Rattus norvegicus: one gene and its partners. The protein of the gene in region 1 purifies or fractionates together with the protein of each later gene. This does not show direct contact. Links are inferred from orthologs where the notes say so. Each region holds a gene or a part of one and is shown in the gene's direction. Other genes may lie near its edges.

Evidence for each region.
Region 2: the proteins of Cop1 (region 1) and Trib3 purify together in Homo sapiens (affinity purification with mass spectrometry; 5 studies listed by BioGRID and IntAct, counting the BioPlex papers as one, with this or other methods). This does not show direct contact. The link is inferred for Rattus norvegicus from reciprocal best matches to the Homo sapiens genes COP1 and TRIB3.
Region 3: the proteins of Cop1 (region 1) and Trib2 purify together in Homo sapiens (affinity purification with mass spectrometry; 4 studies listed by BioGRID and IntAct, counting the BioPlex papers as one, with this or other methods). This does not show direct contact. The link is inferred for Rattus norvegicus from reciprocal best matches to the Homo sapiens genes COP1 and TRIB2.
Region 4: the proteins of Cop1 (region 1) and Cops6 purify together in Homo sapiens (affinity purification with western blotting; 3 studies listed by BioGRID and IntAct, with this or other methods). This does not show direct contact. The link is inferred for Rattus norvegicus from reciprocal best matches to the Homo sapiens genes COP1 and COPS6.
Region 5: the proteins of Cop1 (region 1) and Etv5 purify together in Homo sapiens (affinity purification with mass spectrometry; 6 studies listed by BioGRID and IntAct, counting the BioPlex papers as one, with this or other methods). This does not show direct contact. The link is inferred for Rattus norvegicus from reciprocal best matches to the Homo sapiens genes COP1 and ETV5.
Region 6: the proteins of Cop1 (region 1) and Etv4 purify together in Homo sapiens (affinity purification with mass spectrometry; 5 studies listed by BioGRID and IntAct, with this or other methods). This does not show direct contact. The link is inferred for Rattus norvegicus from reciprocal best matches to the Homo sapiens genes COP1 and ETV4.
Region 7: the proteins of Cop1 (region 1) and Ets2 purify together in Homo sapiens (affinity purification with western blotting; 3 studies listed by BioGRID and IntAct, with this or other methods). This does not show direct contact. The link is inferred for Rattus norvegicus from reciprocal best matches to the Homo sapiens genes COP1 and ETS2.

What each region holds. Positions count from the first base shown.
Region 1 is NC_086031.1:73,999,342-74,003,638, forward strand, and holds the start of Cop1 (E3 ubiquitin-protein ligase COP1), read left to right. Parts: upstream 1-1,257; 5' UTR 1,258-1,437; coding exon of another isoform or gene 1,438-1,440; coding exon 1,441-1,514; intron 1,515-4,297. UniProt on the Homo sapiens protein: E3 ubiquitin-protein ligase that mediates ubiquitination and subsequent proteasomal degradation of target proteins.
Region 2 is NC_086021.1:161,272,644-161,276,900, reverse strand, and holds the start of Trib3 (tribbles homolog 3), read left to right. Parts: upstream 1-1,367; 5' UTR 1,368-1,535; intron 1,536-2,098; coding exon 2,099-2,374; intron 2,375-4,257. UniProt on the Homo sapiens protein: Inactive protein kinase which acts as a regulator of the integrated stress response (ISR), a process for adaptation to various stress. Inhibits the transcriptional activity of DDIT3/CHOP and is involved in DDIT3/CHOP-dependent cell death during ER stress.
Region 3 is NC_086024.1:44,274,940-44,278,682, reverse strand, and holds part of Trib2 (tribbles homolog 2), read left to right. Parts: intron 1-1,571; coding exon 1,572-2,040; 3' UTR 2,041-3,743.
Region 4 is NC_086030.1:22,151,185-22,155,489, forward strand, and holds the start of Cops6 (COP9 signalosome complex subunit 6), read left to right. Parts: upstream 1-1,503; 5' UTR 1,504-1,505; coding exon 1,506-1,635; intron 1,636-1,842; coding exon 1,843-1,965; intron 1,966-2,163; coding exon 2,164-2,295; intron 2,296-2,498; coding exon 2,499-2,587; intron 2,588-2,678; coding exon 2,679-2,741; intron 2,742-3,105; coding exon 3,106-3,153; intron 3,154-3,464; coding exon 3,465-3,579; intron 3,580-3,662; coding exon 3,663-3,755; intron 3,756-3,844; coding exon 3,845-3,945; intron 3,946-4,066; coding exon 4,067-4,207; 3' UTR 4,208-4,305. UniProt on the Homo sapiens protein: Component of the COP9 signalosome complex (CSN), a complex involved in various cellular and developmental processes.
Region 5 is NC_086029.1:92,140,588-92,144,330, forward strand, and holds part of Etv5 (ETS translocation variant 5), read left to right. Parts: intron 1-187; coding exon 188-475; intron 476-3,743. UniProt on the Homo sapiens protein: Binds to DNA sequences containing the consensus nucleotide core sequence 5'-GGAA.-3'.
Region 6 is NC_086028.1:87,219,329-87,223,784, reverse strand, and holds the start of Etv4 (ETS translocation variant 4), read left to right. Parts: upstream 1-1,582; 5' UTR 1,583-1,752; coding exon of another isoform or gene 1,753-1,799; intron 1,800-1,960; exon of another isoform or gene 1,961-2,238; coding exon of another isoform or gene 2,239-2,329; coding exon 2,330-2,389; intron 2,390-2,434; exon of another isoform or gene 2,435-2,579; coding exon of another isoform or gene 2,580-2,582; coding exon 2,583-2,676; intron 2,677-2,882; coding exon 2,883-2,930; intron 2,931-4,456.
Region 7 is NC_086029.1:48,489,437-48,493,896, forward strand, and holds the start of Ets2 (protein C-ets-2), read left to right. Parts: upstream 1-1,620; 5' UTR 1,621-1,845; intron 1,846-1,874; exon of another isoform or gene 1,875-2,232; coding exon of another isoform or gene 2,233-2,304; intron 2,305-4,460. UniProt on the Homo sapiens protein: Transcription factor activating transcription. Binds specifically the DNA GGAA/T core motif (Ets-binding site or EBS) in gene promoters and stimulates transcription.

The sequences.
Region 1 (4,297 bases):
ATTTTTTCCATGGTGTTGACAATGTGGTTTAGATTAGAATTTTTTTTCTTTTCTCCCTTTCTTTAATCTACAGCAATTGGAACAGATCCAGAAGGAACTAAGTGTTTTGGAAGAGGATATTAAAAGAGTGGAAGTAAGAAATCAAGAAATTCTCACATTTCTCATAGTTTTACTTAACATAATTTTACTCATAATTTTTACTCTCATAATTTTAATTAACAATTCAGTTGTGCAGGGAGACAAAGTCTGAATACTTTTTGAAGATAAATTGTAATCTAAATTTATATTAATATGCATTGCAGTAATTCTTGATTAAACAGAACAAAATTTGGTCTAATTTTCTTTTTGCAGTCCAATTAAATTAAATAATTTACTACTAATCCTTCATTATTTCCTTAAGATGATTCATTATTTCATCCTTTATTAAATTTATTTTTACATTTCTACTGCATATATTAATGTATACTAATGTTAATTAAAAATTATATAAATACATTGGCACTATTGTTGGAATTCATAATAAAATACAGATAACGTACAGAAATTCATGGGAAATTCATAGACTATTGTGAGTCGAGGTCACTAAATCTGACTAAATTTAAATTTAGTGTGCTCTCTTAATTCACACATGTCATTTTCTTTTGCTGACATAAAAACATTTCAAAGGATAATGAATGGTATTTAATCGGAATTCAGTATGCCTTTTAATATTACTAATTTATTATATTTATATTACCTGTTTAGCTATTTTGAGCTACGGCAGAAATAATTTTACCTGATTATGCATCTATAGTTGCATTTTCAAATTTGCTACTTTTCCATCAATGAGAACATTCCACATAAAAAGGCCAGTTGTGAGATTCAGAGGCATAATTTATAATTTATATGACCATCTTTGATTAGCCCCTTTAGGTTAAAGAGCAAAAATTTATGTCATTGCTAAACAAAGTCAGTATTTTATTCAAGGATGTTAATTTTTTTAATTACTTGTAGATTACTCCTAGAGAGTGGCAGACATTCCCAGTTTTTGTCAATTTGGAGATTTGACTGTTGTAATCTAGTCACCATCTCTCGTCTCTTTTATCCTAATATGCGATAATAGATCATCCCTTGTGTGAATAGTCAGTTCACTGTGTGAAAAGTACACTGCATGTCCTTTTGGATGTATTTCCTTTGGGCTTTTCTTCATTTGAGGCTTTTTTAGTTGGAGCATTATTTATTAGGAATTATAGTTCTTTAACACTAGGCAAGGCTTCCTTTTTGATTTCAGATTAACTTTACTTTTGTACTCTATGAAAGGTATTTTTGAGAAGTTTGAAGACAAAAGGGGACTAATAAAAAGCTGAGGCTAGAACAGACTATAATGCTGTACGCTTGCTTGATTTATACATCCTCTGTTTGGACTGTGTAGAGTAACTCATATACTTACAATTTCAGGAGATGAGTGGCTTGTACTCCCCCGTCAGTGAAGATAGCACGGTGCCTCAATTTGAAGCTCCTTCTCCATCGCACAGGTACAGAGCTTTACATCAGTAATTGTTGGGAATTCTGCATTAAGTGTTCATGGGACCGTAGTTCCCAGGAGCCTTGTTAATGAAGATTGTGACACCACTGAGAAATAGGGTGCAGAGAGTCAATCTTTACTAAGTTACTGGGTAGATATTGCAGTGTTAAATTTACACATGGATTAAAAGTTTGGTAATTTTTTTGATGTTTTTAAAATTAATGTCAGATATTAAATCAAAATATGGGAACATGAAATAGTAATAAGAAAAATAAGATAAAAGCTTTGATCCTGGCACATACATGCCTTTAATCACAACACTCAGGAGGCAAATGCAGGAAGATCTCTGTGAGTTTGAGACTACTCTGTCTACATAGCAGGTTCCAGGCTAGTTAGGGACACACAGACCCTCTTTTGAAATGATAATGAAATAAAAATTTAAATCTTTTTTATTCCAACTTAGTTTAATTTTAGTGGTTACTTTTCCCAGCTTTAAAAATGAAAGTATTAGAAAGACATGTTTGTTTAAGTCTGTCTGTCTGTCTGTCTGTCTGTCTCTCTCATTCATTCATTCATTCATTCATTCATTCATTCTTTTTTAATGTTTCTCATTACTATCCTGGGCTGGCCTTGAACTTAAAATCTTTCTGCTACAGGTCAACTGGCTTCCCAAGTGCTAGAGTACTAGTATTACAAGGTGTGTACCACTATACGTAGTATAGCCTTTTTCTTGGTGAGGGGGTGAGTGCAATGGTGTGTAAAGGAGGCTAAGAACATGTTGTGTTGCCCAGACTAGTTTCAGACTCACAATCCTTCCATCTGTCCTTGTATTCTTCCTAGCTTGGGAGATGGAAACCTGAGGATTAGGAGTTCAGAATCACCCTTGGTTACACAGCCAGTTCAAGGCCAACCCAGGTTACATGAGACCTTGTTTCCAAAATTCAAAAATAATTAAACTTCATACTATAAATTATAAAATCCTCCTACCATTACAGCAGGGATTATGTTATGTATAAAATAATTACATATCTCTTACCCCACCTACCTCCCTAGATTTTAGAAATAGCTTTATTTGACTATTTATAGAATACAAGAAACAAATGATACCTTTAGCTATAAAATTTATTTTATGAAATAAGTACTATCTAAATAAGAGCAAAAGCCAGCTTAGCTAGTAATTCACCTATTTCTTAATTTTTTAAAAGCAATCCTAAAGACAAGATCTGTTATCACTAATCCTGTCATTCACTTTCTGATGTTTGGTGTTCTTGACAACAGGGCTATCTCCCCCGACCCCCTTGGGGTTTTGTTTTTTTGTTTGTTTGTTTATTGTGACTGAACACAGGGAAATGGTTCAGCATCAAAAACATTTCAATAATAAACTGGTACTCCATTCCCAATTTCATGTCACTCAGTTTTTTAACAGAAAGCATTGTTTAACTATTCTATTAGTCTATTAGGTTTTATGAATCTTGAAAATTTGTTTATTTGTTGAATGCCTCTCATTAGAGATCAGGCAGTTTTTTTGTGTGTGCTAAATCTTGATGACAAAGCTTGTGCCTTTATGGAGAGAGTCTAGTTGTCTACAGTCACAGGAGTACATAACATAAATATGGAGCCTTCAGAAGAACAGGTTAGCAGGCTAGATGTTTACAAGAATATTCTGTTTTAGGTAGTTGAGCTTTTCCGAGAGATGACAACTAGTGGGATGAAGCCGAAACGTGCTGGAAAACCAGTGGGTCTGATTAGGGTTTTAAAGTGCTTTCAGTTTCCGTGTGAAGAGAAAAAGGGCGTGTTCCTGACATCATACCTTTGGAAGCAGGGAGAAAACTTAGAAAACTTACGAACGAAGAGTGAGAGCTTGGGCTATGATTTTGTTGGTGACTGTGGAAGGTAGTTATTAACATGGAGACACACACCTTTACTCCCACTGCTGAAGAGGCAGAGGCAGTGGGATCTCTGTACTCAAGGCCAGCCAGGGAAGGCTATAGGGAGAGACCCTGTGACTCACCAAACAAAACAAAATGTCCAAAACAAAGCAACAGGGAAAGGAATGAAGGAGCAGACTTTGAACAAGAATCTCAGGTAGACTGGGTTGGGAATCTTACACATTCACTTGCTGTATTTTAATGTGGTTTACTGATTACTTGGAGTAGAGATTAAAAAACTAACTGGGTGCTTTTTTTAGAGAGTGCTAGAGATGAATTACTTTACCTTATGCCTTGGGGAGAGGTTGAATTGATGTCATAGGCATGAGAAGACATTGAATTGTAAATGAGTATAGAGAATACTTTTCATTGCCTGCTTATTAATTATCATTAATAATATTGATAGGTAATAAAGTACGAGTTAGTAAAGTTCTTAAAACTTTAATTTTCTTTCTTTACAATACTTGAAGCATTTACTTTAAGTCAGTTATCCCAAATTTAGATTGTACCAGCTAGGCATAAAATACAGTGAAGATACTATGACATAATTACGAATATGACAGATCACTAGACCCTATTCCCATGATTATGCTGTCTTGGGACAGGAAGTAATTTGTCTTAGTAAATTAATTGTTTTGCTTAAAGTACAGAATGAGTAGAATTTTTGACTCCAAGAGTTTAAGTGTATCAAAACTCACTTTCCTCTGAAATTATAACGAACAAACATTTTCTGTTAGTTATTTCAGAACTTTTTTAAAGTGTGTGTGTGTGTGTGTGTGTGTCTGTGTGTCTGTGTGATGCAGATATGTGTGCACAGATGAGAGTGCTGTGCATGGAAGTGAGAGGAGGATATTAGGTGCTGTCT
Region 2 (4,257 bases), on another chromosome or scaffold:
GGATCAGGTTAGATCCCAGAATCCTCTGGGGTATGTGGGGGTCGGGAGAGGGAGACCCAAGAGAGTTGGTCCCCTGGCTTCTCGAACCAGAGTAACAAACGCAGCCCTGCCTCCCTGTAGCTCTTCCTGGAGGAAGTTTGTTTTTGACTTGAATAAACTCAAGTATCAAGATATAAATTAGAGTATCGGGAAAGGCACTGGGCCTTTGGGGCTTTGCCAGGGTGGAGGAATGGAGGTAGCTGTCACCCCTTTGACTAGTCTCACTATGTCTAGCTTTGGCTGTGGCCGGAATCTTGTTCTATCCCTCCGCTTGCAGCGCCCGGCGGCTCCCTCCTATTTACGGAGTGCCTACAAGTCCCATAGACTGCACTCTGATGTTCCTGAGGATTGGACTCACTGCCTACCTTATGCTAGGCAAATGTTTTGTGGCTGAGCTACGACCCTTCTCGCGTCTCCCGCTGCAGCCATTACATTTCTTTTAGCTTGATAACAAGGCCTTTAGTCCCGGTCCTGGGGGAACAGAAGCAGGTACATCTCTCTGAGTTCGACAGCAGCAGCCTGGGCTACAGAGTGAGTTTCAGGCAAGCCAGAGCTGCATCAATTCAGCCTCCTGCCTTAGGCTTTCTAATAACTGAGATTCTGGACGTGCATCACACCCAGCTGTTCTAAGAGCTTTGCACACACGAACTTACTGATGCTCACAGCAACCCTATGAAGAGAGCAGCATTTCATGGAGAAGGGAGCTGAAGCTCTGCTTCCTTTGGTTGTTTTTGGCTTTGTGTTCTCACAGAGTCACACCGCTAGCGAGTAAGGTGCCAAGTGGCTTTTCTGAGCTACAGATGAGTGTGTACTTGAAAGGGTTGCTTTGGAGGGAAGTTTCCCAGGATTCAGAGTGGGGCTTCTAGCCCAGTCCTTAGTGGGGTGTGGAGGCGATATTTGTTTTTTGTTTGTTTGTTTGTTTTGTTTTGTTTTGTTTGTTTTTCGATACAGTGTTTTTCTGTATAGCCCTGTATATCCTGGAACTCACTCTGTAGTCCAGGCTGGCCCCGAACTCAGAGATCCACCTGCCTCTGCCCGACTACGGGGTAGAGAGTGGAGGGGATTGATGAGATTTTTAAACAGCCTCCGTTCATTCCTTTTACCACTATTCTCATTTTATATATGGGGAAATAGGTGTAAAGTACTGAATAAGGAGAGTCGGTGGCTCCTAGTGCTACTTCAGGAGCTGGAGGCTGGAGGAGGGGGCGTGTGGCTCCTAAGGTGAGGGCGGAGCACACTCGGCGACATGGGCGGGTCAGATGGTGCAATCCCCGGCCTCTGGGCGTCAGCAGCAGATTAGCTCAGGTTTACATCAGCCGGGCGGGGATCGGAGCCGGCGTCCCGGTGCCGCAGCACTTTAGCAGCGGAAGCGGCTGCTGTTGAGTACGTGACGGCTGGGGTCTGGCACGGGCGTGCTGGGACTCCGAGATAGGCTCAGTGAGGCTGGCAGCGGTCCACGGGCGCGGGCGCAGGCGGCTCTGAGACCTCAGGACAAGGTACCCAGAAGGGAGCTGCGAAGGGGGTTTAATAAGAGGTCTGGCAAGAAGGTTGTTGGGAGTCAGGCATATTCATAAATATTTATATTCTCTCTCTCTCTCTCTCTCTCTCTCTCTCTCTCTCTCTCTCTCTCTCTCTCTCTCTCCCTCTCTCCCTCTCTCGTTTTCTCGTTTTCCCGTTCTCCTACTCGCTCTCGCTCTCTTTTGCTCACTCTCACTCTTCTCACTCTCACTCTCTCGCTCCTTTACTTCGCCGTCTGGGGGCGCCCAGAGCCCGAGCCGTTGCCCCCAGCTTATTATGCAGCCCAGGCTGACCGGGAATTCGCCATCCTCCTGCCTCTGTCCCCACGGTGCTGGCGATACAGGGGTGCCTCTCTATGCCCAGCTTTCCTTATTACGTTAAGTCTTCAATTCGTCGCGGGTTCCTTCCCTCTCTAGCAGTCCTTGCATTTGAGAGCACTATGTTTAGTGAGCTTCAGGAAACCCAGTGTGATATTTCGCTGTCCGGAGGGTCCTAGCAGGGAAGACAAAGTACCAAACAGCCTTTCTTCCCTTCTCTCTAGATGCGAGCCACATCTCTGGCTGCTTCTGCCGATGTTCCCTGCAGGAAGAAACCGTTGGAGTTTGATGACAACATTGATGTCGAGTGTCCAGTCTTAAAACGAGTGAGAGATGAGCCTGAGCCTGGACCAACCCCCAGCCTACCTCCCGCCTCAGACTTGTCACCTGCTGTGGCCCCTGCAACCCGGCTGGGGCCCTATATCCTTTTGGAACGAGAGCAAGGCAACTGCACCTATCGGGCCCTGCACTGCCCCACAGGCACAGAGTACACCTGCAAGGTATATCCTACGGGCTCTCCCCCTAGCATCCCAGGACCCTGCAAAAGGCCTGGGATCCAGAGGACTGCCGCTTTCTAGCTTTGTAGGTTATCACTGGGTTCTTCAACTGACATGGAGCACCACACGTACAATGTACTTACTTGCCTTGGTCAAAAACCAGACCCAATCGGGGTGTGGTGGCACATGCCTGTAATCCTAGCACTAGAGAGGCTGAGGCAAGAGGCTTGCTCTGATATTCAGGCAAGCCTAGCGTACATACTGAGAACCTGTTTGAAAATGAAAAAACAAATCTAGACCCAGTGCTATTGCTTGCACGCTTGTAATTCTACACTGGGAAAGTGGAAGCGGGCAGGTCTCTGGAGCCAGATAGCTGGTCAGCCAGCTAGCCTATTCAGGGAGTTTGTTCAGAGGTCAGTGAGAGACTCTATCTCAGGTAGAGAGGAGAGAAAGAGAATGAATAAAGAGCTGGAGACATGGCTCAGTGATTAAGAGTGCTTGTAACTCTCTCGGAGACCCAAGTTCTGTTCCTGGCATCCGCTTGAGGCAGCTCGCCACTGCCTATATAATTCCAGGGCTCTGACCTCCTCAAGCATCTCACTCGTGTGCACATACTCATACACAGACAGACAGACAGTCACACACGATTAAAAATAAATCCTGGGGCTGGGGATTTAGCTCAGTGGTAGAGCGCTTACCTAGGAAGTGCAAGGCCCTGGGTTCGGTCCCCAGCTCCGAAAAAAAAAGAACCAAAAAAAAAAAAAAAATCCTAAGACAAAGATGGGATGGAATCTGAGAAATGACAACAGAGGCTTTCCTCTGCCTGCCACAAGAACACACACACACACACACACGTGCACACTTACACACACATGTGCACACACACACATGTGCACACAGCAGAAGAGCATGGGCAATGATGGAAAAGAAGCTGGTGTCAGTGGGGAGGGAGAAGCAAAGAGAGGAGGAGACACGTAGGGATGCAGGGGAGCATAAGGCAGTCTGGGAGGGCCTCGAAGATGATAAAGGGCGGCCGTGTCAGAAGTTGAAGGAGGCATGGGGAGGAGGGTCCAAAGGCAGTGTGTCCCCGCTGTGGGTATAGGAGGCACAAAGGGCCAACCACATTGATACTCACCTTTAATTGCAGCACTTGAGTGGTGTATTTTTGTAAGTTCGAGGCCAGCCTGGTCTACCTACTGAGTTTCAGGACAGCCACAGAGACACAGAGAGACCTTGTCTCAGAGAGCTCACCCCTTCTCCTGTGCAAAGGTGCCGGGACAGGACCAAGCTCTGGGGGAGAAAGAAAGGGTAGTCTGTGTATTTATTTCCTCCGTGCTACCCTAGATCTTTCTTTTAAGGTCCCATGGTTCACGTTTTACAGCACACCTGAGTTTAAAGTCAAAAGCAACAAAGTGCCACATCAACTCTGTGACACTAGCTTCTAGCAGGCATCCAGGGTGGCCTCTCACAGGCCACTTCCTTTTTCTGAACTTTGGTTTCTTTCTCCATCATAACTGGGCCCTCCTTCCAGGTGTTTGTATCCACAAACTCTGAGCTGTTCCCAGCTGCCTCATGGCCCACCCATATGACTGCCTCCCTCGTCCTCCTGGCCACCTTCGAGCTTTGCCTGCAATTTGAGAACAGGTTGATGTCTTGATTACCTCAGGGCCTTTGCACTGCTTGTGCCCCCAACACAGGGGAGCTTTTTCCTGTGGTGTCTTTGGATCATTTGGGCCACTTTTCCTAAGTCAAGTAGGTCCACATTTTTTTTTTTTCTGAATCAGAGTCTCACCTGCATAGCTCTGGCTACTTTGTAGACCAGGCTAAGCCTCAAAGTCAGAGAGCCACTGCCTCTGCTTCCTGAGTCCTGGGATTAAACTACAATG
Region 3 (3,743 bases), on another chromosome or scaffold:
ACACACACACACACTGCCTTCTCTAGTACTCCACTTTACAGGGAGGTTGAGAGACTTAGCTGAAGCTACACAGCTAGTGAGAGATAAGTCTGACTGGGAGTCTACACCCCTGAAGACCACACTATCTAGGAAAGCAATCAGTGCTTGATTTTTGAAACATGTTCATAGGAGATCCTAGAAGAAACGCATCTTTTGTCAACTCTACTACAGAGCTCCCAGCAGCTCTGCTTAACTAGTTGCTATCAAGGACTTTTCAGACCACCTTGAGAGACAGATCTGCAGGTAGAGGGAGGAAGAAAAGAGAGAAGATGGGAGGAAGATGGTCTTGGGCTACATGCTGTGAGTGATGACCAAGGTGGCCCTGTTGTAGTTTGCCCAAACACTATTTTGAACTCGACAGCTTGTGTACTCAAGCAGGACGAATGCCTGGTTGTGTGTACTTGTAGATGTGAAGAAGTAATGTGAATTTGCAGGTCTTTTAAGTGCCTCAGAGGTCCAACTCCAGCTCCAACTGTCCTTAGCTCCCATCTTAGCAGGACTCTAGGAATGTTGTGAAAACCGCCCACTCAAAGGATGGTGCTCCTCTCTGAGAGAAGAGAGAAGGATTTTCATTTCAAACACAGGGAAGCAGTATGTTTACCAGTCTCATGAAGCCCAGGCTGGCTTCCAACTTGCTGTGTAGTTCAGGTTGACCTTGAACTCCTGATCTTCTTTGCCTCTGCCTTCCAAGTGCTGTGATTGCAGGTGTGTACCCCCATGCCTGGCACCAGTTTGTTTTGCACTAATCTGATTGATTAAAGAAGTCATCTTATTTTCCAGACTTTTTATTTTCACAGTATATATCTTTATTTCACACTCAACGATGATGCCATGGGGGCATGTCATGCTAATGGCGTAAGCTGGGTGTTGAGGCCTCAGAATTTCACATGCATTTCTCCAGCTTTCCCAGCACATCTAGGGCTTGCATGTTTGTATGGATAAGTTGCTGGGTTCTTGAAAAGCTGGTGGATTGGGGGAGGTGGGGTGGGATAAATTGTTTGAAAGGACGCTTAGGGTAATACTGCTATTGTCACACCCATCTACCCAGGTACACAGTCACATGTGAACCATGCATCTGTAATTAGAGAGAGGTGCCAGGTCAAAGACCCCCGGCTTTGGGAGTGTGACAGGCAGGAAAGGGCAGGTGAATATCTGGAAATGAAGATCAATTTGATATTCGTATGCTAGGCTTAGATGAGTAGGTTGTGGAGACTACTTGAACCGAAATTTTCCCTGACTCTGCCTGTGTCCTAAAGAAAAGCGGTGGGCACAGCTAAAGAACCAGAAGGCAAAGTTAGGCATTCTTATCCACCTCCTAGCTAAAAGGCTTCAAGAAATTTACCCAAGTCTCCATATTTAGTATTCTACATTATCAGTGACATCCAACTTTTTACATGGATGGATGGATGGATGGATGGATGGATGGATGGATGGATGGATGGATGAACACACATCAGCAGCCCTGATATACTGATGGGATGGATGTGTCTCCCTGATCCTTAGGAGCTTCTGTCTTTGTCTCTTTCTTACAGGACTCGTGTCAAGCTGGAGAGTTTGGAAGACGCTTACATTCTCCGGGGTGATGACGACTCCCTCTCTGACAAGCATGGCTGCCCAGCATATGTCAGCCCAGAGATCTTGAACACCAACGGCAGTTATTCGGGCAAGGCAGCGGACGTGTGGAGCCTGGGGGTAATGCTGTACACCATGTTGGTGGGGCGTTACCCTTTCCATGACATTGAGCCTAGTTCCCTCTTCAGTAAGATCCGCAGGGGCCAATTCAACATTCCAGAAACTCTGTCTCCCAAGGCCAAGTGCCTCATCCGAAGCATCCTGCGACGGGAGCCCTCAGAGCGGCTGACCTCACAGGAAATTCTGGACCATCCTTGGTTTTCTACAGATTTTAGTGTCTCAAATTCGGGATTTGGTGCTAAAGAGGCATGTGACCAGCTGGTGCCAGACGTCAACATGGAGGAGAACTTGGACCCTTTCTTTAACTGAGCTTAAGGCCCAGGGACACATAGCAGGTACCAGGAGCGAGAGAGAGCTCCAGAAAGGAGTTCTGGGACACAGGTGGCCTGGCTGAGAAGCAAGACGGACCCATCATATTTACACATTTCTTGGTTCAGAGAAGGAATATGTTCTAGGAAATGATGGAACATGTAGCATGGGAACAAGATGTGTGGGATGGGGGTTGGGTTCAGATGGACGGGAGCCCTTCCCCTAAACTTCTCTTCCCTTGGGTAGCCTGAGAGTCCCCCTTACCAGTAGGGCTATCTGGTCTACCCCACTTTTCATTTTGTTCAGAAATAGTTGCAGATCTCGATAGAATCGAAACTCTTCTGCCTCAAACACATACCTTGGCATTGCACTGTTAGCATTTAACTTCTTGTTACGATTCAGGGAAGGGACAATTGATCGAAGATTTTTTTTTTCGAACAGGCCAACCACCTATGTAATAATTAATAGGATTCACCTAAAAAATAATAATAATTCGGTGCACACAGACTGACCTGAAACCTGGGTGCTAAACTAAAAGAAAACAAAAGTTCCAGTTGTCGTCTCTCATCCACACTTTCCAATTCATTTCTTCTAAATAAACAATTTCCTATTCTGGTTAGGAAGTGACATGTTAATGCTTTGCTCCCTGAAGGGGGAAGGGAAGTCTATTCCTTCACAGACATTTCTGTTTTGTATCAGCTGGTTTTTGTAGCAAGAAACTATATGAAGTCAAACTTCCAGATACATTATCACAGTCCAGGGGATGAAGAAAGGAAAAGAGAAAAATACAACTCCTTTCTGGTTTTTGTTCTTTTGAAGGAAGAGGGTTCACATTGTAGACATTGCTCTCTGCTCCAAATACGGTGAGGGGGTCCCAGAGGGCAGGCGCCTCCTGGAGTCAGATCTTTTTGATGATGCTGATCTCAACATTTTGTTTTTGCTTTATGGGAAACTAGTAAAACAAGACAGGTTGTCCCATGTGTATAAAATACAGGGCAGCTATTTCCTTTTCTTTGCTAAGAATGATCCTTTGGGCTTGGAAAGGCCCTCTGGTTTGAACAGAAGGAGTAAATGGGCAATAAGCCAAAAGCCAGGATGATATACATACAAACAGCTCTCTGTCCCAATACGCACCTTGTATTTATTAAGGAAAATGTCACATTGTGATGTATCAAGCCAGTACTTCAATTACGGGTCAATGGGATGACATGTTACATGCTGTAGTTTAACATTTATAATTTTATTCCCCTGTTTTGAGTATATCTGTCCCTGGAATAACCTTTTATTTGGCTCTCTCTAGATAGCCTTATTTGATTTCGAGTGGCAAAATGTTTTCCTTTTGTATTCTGGCTTTTTTATTGCTGTATGATACAGAACTCTTTTGGCATAAATATTTGTGTTCCCAGTACCTCAGTCATTTGGGTTTTACTGCTTGCATATGTTTTGTGAAATGGTCCTGTTTTTGGGTAGGTAACACGTGGACTCTAGTATGTAAATGTTACTTGAATCTGTGCTTCACTCTCGTATGTGGCATGTGTGTGCGGACTCTTGGATGCTTCACGCCTACTCCACTGGAGCCCCTGTCCCCAGGAGGGCAGCTTCCCCATTGATAATCAGGGGACAAAGCTGCCATGGATTTACCCTTGATTCTATTTTGATAATGGAAGATACAGAGAAAGGGTTTTTACATTCAGAAGATGGTG
Region 4 (4,305 bases), on another chromosome or scaffold:
TGATTGGTTAAAAAAGAAAGAAAAAAAGAAAGAAAGGAAGGAAGGAAGAAAAACAGGCTGTTATTGGCCCCAAATGAATGACTGTGGGCCAAATGCTCTTTCTTGACTTTTTTTTTTTTTTAAAGATTTATCTATTACATATTACAAGTACACCATATCTGTCTTCAGACACACCAGAAGAGGGCATCAGATCTCATTATAGATGGTTGTGAGCCACCATGTGGTTGCTGGGATTTGAACTCAGGACCTCTGGAAGAGCAGTCAGTGCTCTTAACTGCTGAGCCATCTCTCCAGTCCCTTTTTCTTGACTATTAAAGGAGGTTGCTTAGCCTCAGTTATTGATCCAAGTGGGAAACATACTTGTCTTAATCACTGTTCTATTGCAGTAAAGAGACACCATGACCAAGGCAACTCTCCCCCAACCCCTATATTGTGAGAGTTTGTGTAACCTTGGCTGTGATGGAATTCACTTTGTTGGCCAGGCTGGCCTTGAACTCAAGAAATCTGCCTGTCTCTGCCTCGCTAAGTGCGAGGATTAAAGGCATGGGCCACAAGCCTTCCCAGTAGCAGTCACTAGGTTGTGTAGAATCAAGTTGCCTTGCAACTGAAGAAGCAGCTGAACAGTTGGAGTAATCCACTGGGGAGACGGCTCGGGGGATAAAGTGCTTGCTTTGTAAGTGTTAGGAACCGACTTTAGATCCTCAGTTCACCGTTTCAATATTTTTATTTATTTGTTTTATATGAGTACACTGTTGCTGCCTTCAGACCCACCAGAAGAGGGCATCAGATCTCATTACAGATGGTTGTAAGCCACCATGTGGTTGCTGGGAATTGAACTCAGGACCTCTGGAAGAGCAGTCAGTGCTCTCAACCACTGAGCCATCTCTCCAGCCCCCCTGCTCACCGTTTTAAAAACAAGGCAGGCTGGGCACGCTGCACACCTTGAATCTCAGCACTCAGGAAGTAGAGGCAGGTAGATCTCTTTGAGTTTGAACTCAGCCTAGATGAATAGCAAGTTCCCAGCCAGCTGGGCAACACGGTTAGACCGCAGTTCAACAAACAAGTGACCATGTCACTATAGATTATATGCAACGTGAAAAATGTTATATCCTTAATAAATTACAGCGTTTCCTCTTTTTGATCGCAATTTTCTCTGCGTCTAGTATTGACAAAGTATCCCCTTTGAGACCTGGAAACTAACAGCCCTACTTGGGAGGTAAAGGCAAGAGACCAAAAGTTCAAAGTCATTCTTAGATACACAATACAGAACTCATGGCCAGGCCGGTTTTCATGAGAACCGGTAGCAGCAACACAACACAACACAACACAACACAACACAACACAACACAACACAACACAACACAACACAACACAACACAACACAACACAACACAACACAACACAACACACTGAGAACCATGGGCTACCAAGTACTGGCAGACGCCCCGCCCATTAGCAACACAGAGTACACACTGAGCATGCGCCGCTCGCCGACGGAAGCCGAGATGGAAAGGGGCGGGCCGTGGCTGGCGGGCGCGGGGAAAATGGCGGCGGCGGCGGCGGCGGCTGCGGCGGCGGCGGCGGCGGCGGCGAACGGGAGCGGAGGCAGCAGCGGCATGGAGGTGGATGCAGCAGGTAACGGGGTGCAGGGAACGACTTCTGGAGTCGCCCTTGCGGAGTGTCTTGAGTACTTCTTAAGCCCGGGAGAAGCGACATCTCTCCCAGGATAACTTGAGGGCAGGGATGAACGGCCCGGCTCTACCGGTCCTCTGCTCCCATGTCTAGGGGAGAATGTGTGGGCCCGAACTCTCACCCGCTATGTTTTTCTTTCACTTTTAACAGTCCCCAGCGTGATGGCCTCCGGAGTGACTGGGAGTGTTTCCGTCGCTCTTCATCCCCTTGTCATCCTCAACATCTCAGACCATTGGATCCGCATGCGCTCCCAGGAGGGGCGGCCTATGCAGGGTGAGTGTTGTGTGTAAATCTCAAAATTTCCTCTTGGAGATCTCCTCTTGGAGATCTCCTCCAGTCCCTCCCCCCGCCCCCTTTTCCAAATTACTGTTTCCCCAGTCATTAATACACACTGACTTCAGAGTCTCGGGAAAGGTTTTCGATGCTTGAACCTCACCTATTTTCCTTGCACTTCTGCTTCTCTCTCCTTAGTGATTGGGGCTCTGATCGGGAAGCAGGAGGGGCGAAATATCGAAGTGATGAACTCCTTTGAGCTGCTGTCTCACACCGTGGAAAAGAAGATTATCATTGACAAAGAATATTATTACACCAAGGAGGAGCAGTGTGAGAAGGGAATAGAAGTGGGCGGGAAGGAGAAGTGGGGAGATTTTTGTTTTGTATTTAGAATAGAAAGGTATAGTTATGCTAAACTGACCCAAAATTTGAGGGAGGGAGGAAGGGAAAAGCCGGTAAGGAAACACACCAGGTCCATCAAACTCAGGAAGAGAGGTTTAAAGAAATATTTACTCTGGCCCCTTCTTCTCCAGTTAAACAGGTTTTCAAGGAGCTGGAGTTTTTGGGTTGGTATACCACAGGGGGGCCACCTGACCCCTCAGACATCCACGTCCATAAGCAGGTATAAAAGCTCACATGTGTGCATGTTGGGGAAGAGAACAGAAGGTTATGGGAAGAAGAGATACTGACTTTTTTTGGGCTTTGTCTTCTAGGTTTGCGAGATAATTGAGAGTCCTCTCTTTCTGAAGTTGAACCCTATGACCAAGCACACAGATGTGAGTATTGTTGACCCTATGACCCCTTTGTCTTGATCATCTGCCCCTATATGCCTCTGCTCTGATTTACTCTGTGACATCATGTGTATTAGAGAACGCTTGAGTTGAATCTCCACGCTGCTGTTTACTTACGCCCATCAGTTGTGTAACTTCATCTCTTCAGTGGTGTCGCCATATGTAATGTGGGTAAAACTTACTCCAGTAGAGAGAAAATTGTGAGCTAAGTGTGGCAACAACACTTGTAATCAATTTTAGCACTCAGGAGATTGAGGCAAGAGAATTGTGAGTTCAAAACCAGCCTGGCAAGTTCAAGTGCATTTGCTTCTAGTAAGAGCTGTTCTCTTGTCTCCGTCTGTTTTTACAGCTGCCTGTCAGCGTTTTTGAGTCTGTCATCGATATAATCAATGGAGAGGTAATAGTTACCCTGCAATCTTCAAATCCTGCTTTAGCCTGTCTCCTAAATGCTGTGCACATGTGCACAGGCATGGGGCAACCCTGGGTGTTTGTCGTAGCTTTCTACCTGGAGACAGAATCTCGTGTTTGCCAGGCTGGTTGACCTGTGAGCTTCTGGGATTTGTCTTCACTTCCCATTTTGCTGTAGAAGTTCTGGGATTATAGACACATGCTGCCACATCTTGATCCTTAGTCTCGTGCAGCAAGCGCTCTACCCACTGAGCCGTCTGCCCAGCCCTGTTTCCTTGCTGAGAACCCTTTACTCTGCAGGCCACAATGCTGTTTGCTGAACTCACTTACACTCTGGCCACTGAGGAAGCTGAACGTATCGGTGTAGACCATGTGGCCCGGATGACAGCTACAGGCAGTGGGGAGAACTCCACTGGTAAGGGGGTTGAATTCAGTTCTTTGGAGGTATGGGTTGGGTGTGGCCACTTGCTACCTTTCATTTGTCCTGTCCCCCTGCAGTGGCTGAACACCTCATAGCTCAGCACAGCGCCATCAAGATGCTGCACAGCCGTGTGAAGCTCATTTTAGAGTACGTCAAGGCCTCTGAAGCAGGTAGGAGAGGTACCTCACCTTTAACCATCTTTCCTCCCTCCTGGAGAAGTGACAACATCCACATCAGTGCAGCCTCATTGTGCCCTTAGGAGAGGTTCCCTTCAACCATGAGATCCTGCGGGAGGCCTATGCCCTATGCCACTGTCTTCCAGTTCTCAGCACTGACAAGTTCAAGACAGACTTTTATGATGTGAGTGTTAATACCCTTGATGGGGAGGTGGGGCTCACAACCACCTCAGGCAGGTGAAACTCAGTGTCATTGGCTAATATGAGGGACCCCTGGGGAACTGGTTCTTTCTGTTCCCTCCCAGCAATGCAATGACGTGGGGCTTATGGCCTACCTCGGCACCATCACCAAAACGTGCAACACAATGAACCAGTTTGTGAACAAGTTCAACGTCCTGTATGACCGACAAGGCATCGGCAGGCGGATGCGGGGACTGTTTTTCTGATGAGGGCTCTTGGAAGGGATGCTGTATGGGGCTCAGACAACTGTGCCACGGGACTGAGCACTTTCCCCTTAGAGAAACTCACTAATAAAGAACAGCCC
Region 5 (3,743 bases), on another chromosome or scaffold:
GTCCTTTGACGCCCTGCGTTTGTCACTTTTCTGAGGTACAAATATTCCCCTGGGCTGTAGCGATTTCACTGTGTTAATGATGTCATTTCCTGGCAACAATGGGCTGCAAACTGGTGTTCTGCTGGGCCTGGTTACTATGCAAATGCTTCTCTGCAGCTTAATGGAGCTTCTGTCTTTCTTTTTACAGTGCCTACGACAGGAAGCCTCCCTCTGGGTTCAAGCCATTAACCCCGCCCGCCACTCCTTTGTCACCCACCCATCAGAATTCCCTATTTCCCCCACCTCAGGCAACTCTGCCCACCTCAGCTCTTGCCCCTGGAGCCGGCCCAGTTCAAGGGGTGGGTCCTGCCCCAACCCCTCACTCGCTTCCAGAACCTGGATCACAGCAGCAAACATTTGCGGTCCCCCGGCCACCACATCAGCCCCTGCAAATGCCAAAGATGATGCCTGAAAGCCAGTATCCATCAGAACAGAGGTGGGTACCACCCTGCACTAAGTTTCTCCTCTCTCATGTCCTTTTCTCATCACGAGAGAGGAGCAGTTGGTCACATTGGCCAGGGGTCTGTAAAGTTCTCACTCCATTGACTCTTCAGTGGAGTATGGATGTACTGTGGGTATGGCTGACTATATAGTACCCTGTTACAGAGGTTCTCAGAATGGTTTCTAGGATTCTTAGGAAGCCTGTCGACGCGCTTCCAGCCAGGGTGGAGGGGTGACTTGCTCAGATGCACAATCAACCCACCAGTTTCTGGGCTCCTGAGAGACTGCCCGTAAAGCTGACCTGTAGTGCATGCCGCTTTCAATCATGCTATTACATTCTGTTTGCATCCGGGGAAGACTCTGAGTTACAGAAGCCAGTGTTTTTCACATGTTAGCCTATTTCTACGATAAAATGAGCTAGAGAGGTTAGTGATAACACCTGCTTTTGAGGTAGAAACTTCCTGGTTTCCCTGTAGGTCGTTTCACGTGTCTTAACGGTTGAAACGTCTTGGTTAATTATCCGGAGTCCTTCACTCATCAAACAGAAAGGTAGAGAGGGATCCGGCTTTCGACGTTCATCGTGCTGGTCTGGAAATGCGGCCAGGTGTGGACTTACTCATTACATGTCAGACGCTTTTCATCTGTGTTGACAGTGACTCATCAGTGGTGTTAGCGAGGACAGCAGGATGGGAACCACCACTCTGCTGGGGGTGGGCCGCACTCGGAGAAGGAAGGGCGCTGATGGGTTCTACTTGGCGTCTGTCTAGAGGTTTTTCTTGCTTCTGGTCCTGTCCCCACTTCTAACCCACAGGATGCAGTTGACTGATAGTCTTTCCCATAGTCAAGCCAAGAGCCACAGAGAGGCAGTTATGCTATTTAGAGCCCCCGAGGTGATCACCCATCTGGGGGCGCCTGAGATTTGTGATACGGCAGAGACACTGGTTCATGAGTTTCTCTTGCCACACAGGCTGCGTCTGAAAGAAAACAGCCGCCACCAGGCTTTGGCGGTGTCATACACTCATAACCTTGTTCTTTGTCAAGAGAATCGATATTCTTATGAAAAAAATAAGACGTTTGGGTCAAAAGTGGTGAGCTTTTGCCGTTTTTATTCTGGTTTGGGTGTGTGTTTTTTAAACAGAATCTCACTGGTTTCGTGCAGGAGTTGGTTATTAATGGGGGAGGGGAAGATGCTGGGGCGAATTTGTTCGGTATTTGAAATGCCTGGCAAGTGTAGGCATAGGGAAATTGCCTTGTTAAGTCCTTTTGATTAGCACCTTCCTGTCTACCCTCGTTTCTTAGCCTGAGCGATGTGACAGTTTGTATGAATTGGCCTCACTGGAGGAGACCAGGCATCAGTTGTAGAGTAGACAAGTCTCCTGGCTGCCTACCCTCTAGAAAGGAGATTCAGGTCCCCAGGATTTATGACTATCTGCCCTCAGGTCCAGAGGGAAAGCGTGTAGGTGTCCTTTCCAGATGAGTCTTTTGTGAAGTGGCCTATCTGTCTTGAACTTCCTGCTTCTTTTCCCTTGACCTGTAGTAATGATGGGTGACAGAGACTCTGGAAACCTGGGGTGAAAGGTGAGCTAACGTGTAGGCTTCTAAAATGACACAGTAAGCAGTACTGAGGTGCTTGGGGCTCCCCTAGAGCACTGCAGCCTCGAGGCTGAGGGTGCACACAGGAGCACCCCCCCTCTTCCCACAAGGATGTGGAGATAAAAATCCAGATCCCAGCAGGGAGAAGTTGCTCGGCCTGAAAAGTTTTCTGTGAGAGCCTGAGTCGGAGTCTCAGGCCCCTGTGAAAAGGCCAGGAGAAATCCCTAGGGCTTGCTGGCCAGCCTGCCTAGCGTGGGTGGTGGGGTCCAGGTCCAGTCAGAGACCCTGCCTTCAAAAAACAAAGTGGAGAGAGCCTGAAGTTGACCTTCTGTGTCTGCCCACACTGTATGTTCATGCGTGTGCCCTTGTTCTGCTGGAGACTGAGTTGGTAGAGCTTCAGCGAGGCTATCAGTCACTTAGATAAACTGTGACGAGGGCTCTGCTTTGCCTCAGCCCCTCCCAGCCTGCCCTTGTTTAGTGTAGGTTATTCTGTAGGATAAAGGGAATACAGCTCTACAGCCAAAGCAGAAGTCGGTTGTCATTGTGTTTTAATTTTTCGGTGAGAAAGCAAATCGTGTTCTGTATGCATAGGATTGTTTTTGAATTGCAAACAATCCACAAGGATCACTGAAAAGCTGAGCACCCTGGAAGGGGCCATTTTGTCCTTGACCTTTGCTCTTCTCAGTGTCTTTGAAGTTCCTGATTTATCTCCCATGGGTAAGATGTCTTTTGTTCCAGATAGGCCCAACCTGTTCAGACTGCATCTTTCTCTTTGGACAGGATGTTAATGGCCTTCTGCGTATTTGTTGAGAGTGGCGGTCACTTGCTGTAGTCATGCTTTAAACAGCTAAAATAAAACACAGTCGCCGTATATTCTTAGAGTTTCATGTAATCTACCTATATATCTCTTCACAACTCAGTTTATTTTCGGAAGATAAATACTGTATTTGAAAGCAGTGTTTTATATTGGTGGTTCCTCCCACACGGTGTGGGAGGGGATCATGTATTTGGCGTGCTACAGCGTGTTCCATTTATACTCCTTAGAACTCTTTAGTTTTTCCTCTGGCCAGACCAATCTTGATGGTCATACTTGCTGAGAACTTAGAAGCTGTATTCTACCCTCAACACGTGGGGGGTGGGGGTTGTTTCATTTTTTTTGTTTTGTTTTTTTTTTCTTTTCTTTGTATTGTATCTCAATGAAGAAAGCCTCACAATTTAAAGAGGCTTCACAGAAAATTTTTTTAAAAAGTCCCCCATCTAGGAATTTTGAAATACTATGCCGTCTCCCACACTTGGCATCAAGAAAAACAAAAACTAAAGACAAAACTTAAGAAAATGTCCCTATAGTAGAAAAAAAGGCAAAACAAGGCTGCTTTTGCATGGTACACAGGAGCATCCGGTAATGTGGTTGGTAACGGTGGTCGGTCACTGAAGGAAGGTCACCCAGGCATCAGGAGGTCAGCCCCGGGATGGGCCACCAGCAGGGCCCTGTAGTCAGTACTTTGTGAAAGAGGAGAGTACCAGCTGGTTGAGAGCTGTCTTCCTGCTGTGTGATCTGGGCCTGATACCTGACTGAGCTGTTTTCTCCAACTTCGATTGCATAGAAACCATGATGCTCGATAAGTTACAAGATTGACTTCCTCTTGGAGTCCATCCCTGACAAACTCATT
Region 6 (4,456 bases), on another chromosome or scaffold:
CTGGCTTCGTCTGCCCCAAGCTGGGATTTGCTTGGGCTTGCCTCTCCTTCCTTGGGCAGGGTGCCTGCAAACCTCCATTACTTTGCTTTTTATTGTAGCTGTTCACCTGACAGGCATTTTGTGCAACTCTCTTGAGTGTGAGGGAGGCTCAAGAAAGGAGTCCTCTTCTGGGCGCTGCAGAGCTCTCTCCGTAACTACATAGGGATTTCTCTAACAGGAAAGAGAATGAAAGATCCCTTGCCAAATATAAGGACTGACCCGGGTTCTCCTGAAAGGGAGGCTCCCTAGAGGAGAGCAGCTGCAGCAAGCTTCAAAGAACTGTTTGGCAGATAAAGGGGAGGAGTTGATGCAGCAGAGTGAGCCCAATTTAGGTGCCAGGGAGTTGATGCCCTTGTCCCACCTCTGACTCCTACAGGCTGCAAGAGATTGCATGTACCTTTTCCTTCTCAGAGCCCCCTCTGCCTTATCTGTAGTGTTTGGTTGGAGAGATGAATTTTGAAAGCAGTATGGTGGGCCTGTGGATCCCTGGGACCGCAGCTAGAGCAGCCCAGACCCCAAGGGAGGTAGTCTTTCTCACACTTGCTTGCCACCTAGCACCATGTCTGGCAAGGCAGCTATTTACCAAAGGAATCGATGAGCGAGTGACAAAAACACCAAGATCAACTTCTTGAACAAAACTGAAACCCATCCTGCCTTTTGATCACCCAGTCCCTTGAGATTTCTGTTTCCTATCATCGGATGCTTGCCTTCAGGTAAGGAGTAAGATGGCAGCCAGAGGGACATCCTTGAGCCTCTTGTTTGCAAAACCGCGAGTGAATGATAAAGCAGGTCACAGATAAAGCGTCTCCACAGATCACAGGCCCTTGAGAAAACCGTTCGAGCCAGTTTACATTTACTGAGCACCAACTGTGCATCCATTTGTTTTCACATAGCTTAATTCACTTAAGCTCTTGGTCTCCGAGGGCTGCACAGAAGACCGCGGTGGCTTTGAAACGCTAATGTCCCGCAGTATTGACAAGCTGAGTTACCTCAGGTGAGGGGCAATGGTGTCTTTCTTAGCTTTCTTCCATTTTCATTTGTAAAGTAAAATGGAAACAGCTCCGCAGCACCACGTTAGGGAAGGAAATTAGCACGTGGAGGCAGAGCGCTTCATAAATGCTCGTTATTATGGTTCCTCTGGGAGCACAAGTCCGTTCGCCTCCCCTTCCCCCCCAGGGCACACAGAGGTGTTCACACTCCCACGTACTTATAGATGCACAGAGGCGTGTGTGCTAACGCCAGCGGGAGGAGCTCAGGGGTCCTTAGACTCAAAGCCCAAGCTGGAACTGGTGGAGAAGCCTCTTTTTTTTCTCAATTCTTTATGAATGAACTAAGGCCGAAAGGAGTTTATTTTTTTATGAATGGAAGTCCAAAAAGTGAATGGAGCCGGGAGCCAGCCCCTACATTCTGATTGGCCCCCGTGGCTGGGAAACTCCGCCCTCAAGCTCCGCTAGCGGAGTCTGAGGATTGGCGGGCGTGCCTGGCCCTGGGGTTTCATTCACAAAAGTCAATGAAACAAAGGGAACCGGTGGGGAGGGGCGGGGGAAGAGCGAGAACGGAGGCCAAGGCAAAGGAAATGCACCAATCAGCTGCTCCCCGGGGCTCACAACTGTCTGCTGCGCCCGGAAAACAAGCCGGGGCTCTGGGGACCCGGGGCTCAGGCCGCCTCGCTCAGGCCTAGCCCCGCCACTTTAGTTGTGTCATCCCCCGGGCATGCTGAGCATCCCCCCACGGCTCCTGCACAGACGCCCCGACCTCAGGTGAAGCTGCGGAAGGGGAAGGAAGGGAGAGTGTCTGTGATTTCCCCGATTCGTCTCCCACACACCACACTCTTTCTGTTCGGCGCCCGCTTCCGCACATTCCGGGGCGGGGGTGGGAGGCGTCGGGATTCGAGGCTGGAGGGGGCGCCCGAGTTATAGGCGTGCGAATGGTGTGCGCCGCGCGCGCTCCCATATACACACTCACACACGCGCACACACACACACACACACGCACGCACACACACGTCTTATGTAACCTAGTCCCGGCTGAGCAGGGCTGCAGAAAGCAGACACGCCGACCCCAGCTCGAGGGAGCAGGTGGGACCTCCTTTGGCGGGAGGGGAGTGGCGGTGGAGGCGCTCGGCCGCGCAGGTCCCAGCGAGTCGGAGAAGTTTCGCTGTCCGATCCAAAGCCTCGCGATCGCCCCCTCCCCCCGCAGCGCTCCCGGGACCGTGTGCGAACTGCCTCCCCCCTCCCAGGTCTCTGCCTCCGCGCGGGGGCCCGGCCCTGTGGCCGGAGGGAGCGGCCGGATGGAGCGGAGGATGAAAGGCGGATACTTGGACCAGCGAGTGCCCTACACCTTCTGCAGCGTGAGCGCCGCGCCGGCCTCCACGCCCGCCCCCGCCCCGCACCCCGCCCCTACTCGCCCCGCAACCCCCTCCCGGGGGGTCTCAGTGGGTCCAGGGCCTCCTGGCCCCTGAGCCACCCCGGGACCCAACCCCCAACCCCAAGCTAGACTCCTCAGGGTGATTCGGGGGCATTCTCCCCCCCTCCTTCCAGCAGAAATCTCCCGGAAATGGGAGCTTGGGCGAAGCGCTGATGGTCCCGCAGGGGAAGCTCATGGACCCGGGTTCCCTGCCGCCTTCCGATTCAGAAGGTAAAGAACCAAACAAACTGCGACCCCTCTCCTTAATCCACACACATCCATCCCAGAGCCCTATCCTGGACCCACATTTCCCCAAAAGTCAAATCACTCATTCTTACTCTGTCCCTTATCACCAGTGGGGAGGCTGTAACCCGGGCACGCCAGGTCTCTCCCCATATTATCTCCACCTCTTCACCAATCCAATATTCACCCATCAGATCTCTTCCAGGATCTCAGTCACTTCCAAGAGACGTGGCTCGCTGAAGGTGAGTAGTTTTGTTTCCTTCCTAAAATTAGAAGTGGGTCGTGGGGAATCTTCTCTGTCTCAAGGAGTCTTTCCACCCCCTCCCTCCAGTCCCTAACCATTTCTCTCTCCCTGGTGCCCAGTGTGGACACTTATATTGATATTTATTTTCTCGCCCTGAGCCAGGCTTGTATAACTAGGCCTGGGGATGAATCAGACTATTGTGTGGGGTATTCGCTTATTTGAATGGAACTTGGCCCCAGGCCTGTTTTCTTTCTTTTTTTTTTTCCTGGTTGAAAATTTCATTTGCAAAGTTTGTTTGGCAGGAGGCGCCTGGCCTAGGTGTAGTGTTGGGGTGTTGAGGTATTGAAAGACAGCAATGAAAAACAGGAGTAATTTATTACCCATCTTCTGGAGTTGCTGGAACATTGGTTGGTTTTTCTTCTCTCTCCATTTCACTTCTTCCTAACTCTGAGGGCCAATTTACTGACCAAGCCAAAATAACAACAAAAGTTTCAATACTTCTCTTCTTGGCACTTTGGCAAAGAAGACTCAGGGCTGCCTCCCCAAATAGCCTTGATTATAATTCCAGTGGCAACTGGTTCTCTCTCCATCCCTCCTGAATACCTCCACCCCCAGGCAGTGCTCCCCTTCCTGTATGCAGGAGGGTTGTGAGCCCTGGCCAGGATGGGGTCAGTAGCCCAGCGTGGGCTGGGTGGGGCAGATGTCCTAGTTGGATTCTAGTTGTTGTGTTTTGGTGAGGTTAGTTAGCCTGAGGGTGATGCTGGCAGGGCTGCCAGTCAAAGGAGGCATGGTGACTTACAGTCCCTGAGATTCAGGAAGCACTAGCACCCCCATCTTCACTAACACCCCCTTTGTGTTAATACTCTAAAAACCCCAGAAACCAAAAGTGAGCACCTTCTTCAGGTCTTTTCTCTTCCTAAGGGGTCTTCATTCTTCCACTGTGGGTGGGTACCTTTCTTTTGGAATTTAAAAGCTCAGATCCACCTCTTGCAGGATTCTCTACAGGAGAAGCTTGGATGAGAAGGAAAGGACCACTAAGTCGGTCTGTGGAATAAGATGAGGTCTGTCTTGGCCACTGTCTGTCTGTCTCTACACACACACACACACACACACACACACACACACACACACACTTATTGCTTTTGTCATTTTTATGATTATTGTGGTGGCGGCGGTGTCAGAGAAGGACTATTAGCATGGAGCTTAGCCTCTGAAATGAGCAATGAGGGTGGAGGGTATGAGTGTAGCATGTATCTTCCTCTGCTTGTATGTCCTGAATGCCCGGCTCCCAGTTGCATGTAGAGCTTTGTTGGCTTACCCCCTTCAGGTTCTGGAGCTAAAGAACTCAGGGTCTCCATGGGCTCTCAAAAAAAAAAAAAAAAAACCCTTTCTTACCACCTAGTTACTGATTTTGGTCTGGCTCTCTGGGTTTCCTGCCCGTCAGCTGAGAGTCCTCACAGTGGCCAGCTCCCCAGTTGTGAGCTGTGGGCTCAGGGTGGCATTTTGGCAGTATTTGGTCTTTTT
Region 7 (4,460 bases), on another chromosome or scaffold:
GATAAACCCTATTATAGGTTTGCTTCATCATCTAAGCAACGTTTAACAATAGGGGTGCCATGACACTCGGGGTACTAATTTCTTTTGTAGCTTTCGGTGGCTCAGTATTATCAAGCGCTGCCCTCCAGCTGTCAGCCTGAGCAGCCCTGAAAGGTATGTTTTCTTGGCTCAAGAAGGCCTTCCTGGACCAAAGAAGTCTCAGAGTACCCACGGTCTCTGGAGCAGAAGAGGTGGGAACAGGCGGTCCTGTTTTGGGTACCTGAGCTTCAAGAGATCCCTATGTGTATCCATACCAAGCTTCTCAGGCACGTGGTCAAGGTGTGAGCATAGGTGCGGGGAGAGAGGGCCCACAGACACACTCCTTCAGATAAGTCCGTACCTTCTGCTGGTTTTTTTTTCTTTCCTTCTTTAAGTTAGCATATGCCGCTCCATGTCTCCATGGAAACGGAACAGGGAATCTGTCTTCTATTTAGGGAGTTCCTCCTTGACCTGGGTTCTCTGGTCCAGACCTGAATTCACACGGAGAAGCCCTGAGGAAATATCAATCCCCTGTGAACCTAGCTGTTTTAGCTTAGTGGATTGGGCCTTGACTCCTGCAAAGGTGATACACTAGAGAGAAGTATCAAATGCAACAGTATCTTGATTGGCAACAACTTCAGAAGGGGAGTTGCCATGGAAACCAGGAACCCTGAGTACAAGGGAAGGTGGGACCTTCTACTCCCTTCCCAGCAAGTCTGTCCTTGTACCAATCGTCGGTCCCGCGGCCTTGACTAAGCCTGCCATTTGCAATTTCCTACAAATCTCGGGTATCGATCTAAACTCAAGGAGGAACGCAATAATATTGAACGTACACCTATGCCTCCGGACCAATCACATAGGTTTCCAATCATGGACTCGGCGCCTTCTCACCAAAAAGGAAACCACCCTCTGGCTGGTGTTTTGACCATGAGTTTGGGAGAGTCACGTTGGACTTGGCATGTTGTTGACCTGGCAGACCATGTTAAGTAAAACACCAGTGCTTTGAAGCATTAGTAAGACTAATAATAGATGGCGCCGGAGTGCTCAGCTAGGTTGGCGCTAAGACTCGGCTCAGCCCTAGGGGGCGCTATCCACACCTAGGTAGTAGGAGGGGCCTCCCAAGACTCAAGCGGCTGCGCCACGTTCTGCTCTTCCACTCGCGACTCCGCCACCCGCCCACTTTGTGCCTCCCTAACCCCACGTAAGAGTCTTTTCACGTCGGAGGGACCAGAAATCAGGACCCACACGTAGCTCCAAACACAGGACCGGTTCTACCGCAGAAGCCTAACCACTCAATCCAAGTGCCACCAGGGCCCCCAGCTTGGACCTGCAGACGGCCGTGCGCCAGGGAGACGCGGGCGGACACGGCCCTGCCCTTCTAGCTGAACCTCCTGGGCACAAGGCCCAAGCTGGGCCTTAGGAGCAGGGGCCAGCAGGCAGGCGACAGCCGGCTGCAGGGGCGCAGGGAAGGGCCCGGGAGCAGCGTGGATCCGCCGCTGCGGGAGCACACTCTCCTCCCACGCCGGCCTCGCGCTTGCTCCTCCTCCGCGCTCCCTCCGTCACCCCTGCTGTCCCCTCCCCCGGTCCCCTCCGGCCCTCCCCCAGCTCCAGAAGAGCGCGCGGCCAGGGGATCGGGCTGGTTACTTCCTCCACCGCGGTGCTGAGCACGGAGTGGACACCACTAAGGCCCGCCAGTCCCTGCCACCGTCTCCGACCCCGCGCGCCCGTATCGGCCCTACGCCTTCGTCTCGCTGGGCCTTGCCGGCCGGGACCGCCGCGATCTCCTCTCCCCGCCGCCCTCCGGCTGGCCCTGCTTGCTGCGGCGCGGTAAGAGCGGCCCCCGTGCGCGACGTTCCTCGGGAGGGACTCCGCCCGGGGTGGGGTGCAGTGCGGGCGGCCCCTGCTCCCGCCGGTTGATCGCGCGCCCCGGAGCCTCTCCAGCTGGTTCCTAGGCACCCAGTGGCCTCAGCCGGGGATCCGGGAACCGGGCCGGGAGCGGGCAGCCCGCTTTTGTTTTAGGGAAGCCAGTGGTCGCTCTGTGCGGTTCCTGCCTGGGGCGCGGGTCTGTGTTTCTCCAGGGGGCTTGAGACACCTGGAGAGATGGCCGAAGTAGCCCCAGGTTTGGGGTGACTTGAGTGGGAGAGGAGCTAGGCCTGGGAGGATGTGGGGGTGTCCGACGCCTGAAACACCTGGGAAGTTGCGGCTCCCGGGAACATGTCACCTGCTCGGCCAGCTCTCGGTTCCCCTGGACCCTGGGAAGCCAGTACGGGACACGTCCAAGTAGGGGTGCGCGTGGCTGTTCTGCTTTTATTTTCCCCGTAGAACATATGAATGAAGGGGTAACCCGAAGCGTTTGCATATTTGACCTTTTTTTTTGGTTTTAATTTATTATTTAATCTCATAAGACTTGTACTAGCCTGCACTCAATTTCAGGGGAGCCTAAAATAGTAGTTGACTCGCTACTAATTTAGAAAGTAAAGCAGTGTGCAGTCCTGGTTGGAGACAGGAGTCATTTACTGTTGAGAGAGAGACTTACTCCCTGCTGTGAAAGCTCCTGCGCCCTTATCAGTCTGCCCACAACGCCAATCGGGAGATACATCTCCGTGTTAAGCTTTTATTAAAATCTGAGTAATCTTGCAGTACAGTTAATGTGAACACCGCGCATCCCACAGGGAAATAGTCAAACTCTCATATATGGAATTAGTCATTCATCTCTCTAAACTGATCGCTAAGCGAAAAGCAAACCAACCTTCAAAAGGTTTTTTTTTCTTTTATTTTTTTTAACCTAAATTTTACCTAAATACAAACCTATGCTCTTTTATGTAAGTGATTACCTGTTCCAATAAGGATACAGTTATCCGGGAAATTCTTGTTTCAAAACTTAACTATTCTCAGCCATTACATTTCTGCCATTTTCTTCCATTTCTTGTACACCCCCCCCCCAACCAAAGTACCAAAAAGCTCTAAACTTGAAAATTGATTTATCTAGAGTCTTGACTTGTCCCAGGGGTTAGCAAGCACATCCAGTAGGATAAATGGACTTAAATTTGATTAGCCGCGTGTCTGCCTGAAGCCATTTAGTAGAGGGCTTTAATTCTACATGGTTTTTTACAAAACTCATTAAAAGCCAGGCAACAAAGGAACCCTGTTCTGTAGCCAGTAATTACAGCTCTTTATGTGGGAGTTTGAGCCTCCCTTTTCTGCTCCTGTTTGTACACAAAAGGCAGGGGAGCTCTATTCTAGATCTCCAAAGCTATTCTCTGCCTATCTCAGAAGCGAAGAATCACGGTGAAGTCCCCAAGTGTCTGCACATTGGGACCACAGAAAGCGCTATCCGACTGGCCCTGGAGGGAACATGTGGACACCTCTGTCTGTGTCGCTGGTTTTCTGAGGGTGGCTTGTGTTTAATCAACAGGTTACAGGGCTGACTTCATCTAAGTAGGCGACCTGAAGTTCTCAGTTGGCGGGCATTTCCTAGGGCTGAAGTGTGACAGAAAGGCCTGGTTTAATCATAATTGCACACTCTGCTTCAGTGGGCTGTGGTAGGCAAAGCCCACTCAGCCATGGCTAGGATTTAAGGCCCTACTGATCTGAGGTGAACCTCCATAGACACCCCCACAGGAATGTGACCCGGGCCAGTGACTCAGTATCATCGGGCCTCAGTTGTCTCGGAATAAGGTGATTTTCCTTTTGGAACCCGCGCTCAGGAGGATTGAGGACGTGGGACTTGGTCTTCCCATCAGGCATTCTGTCTAGCCTTCATCTGTGAGGAATATTGAACATTCAGTGAGTGTAGCTAAATAATATACCAAGGGAGAGCCTGAACAAATATGCCTTCTCTGGAGACTGCACAGGCCCTGCTGTGACCTTACCGGGAAGGTGGCTCCTTCAATTCGTCTCAGCTTTTCTGGACTATTCTAACCCAAATCTGCAATCAGAAGCCTCCCCCAGGATTCCTTTCTGCTCTCGATGCCTTCTATCAAGGTGTGAGTGTGCACATGTGTGCACTCACTCGCACATGCTGCACATGTCGGTATAGGCATGTGACTAGTATGTGTTAGTAGGGAATTGTTAAGCCATCTGCCATTGGCCATAATGTTGACTATAAAAAGACACAAGAAAGGGGAATCAAAGGAAGTTTAAGTAATTCTTTGAGGCTATGCTATCTGCTGCCTCTAGTGAGTTCTATCAATTGCATGCTAATTTTAGTGACAGTGTGTGGTTAGCAGGTGGGTGCGCATGAAGGAGAGCGGAGGGTGGGGGCGGGTGGGGGTGGGGCTGAGGTTTGCACACTCCACACCATGGAGCTATTGAAGGCTCCAGTTCTGTAGCTCAGAGCCTGGAAGACAGGAGCTGCCGTAGAGTGATGGTGTGTGGAAATGAGGTTCGGTGACTGGGTCCGTCTAACACTCTGTTACTGTTGAAGGGCCTTCCTTTATTTA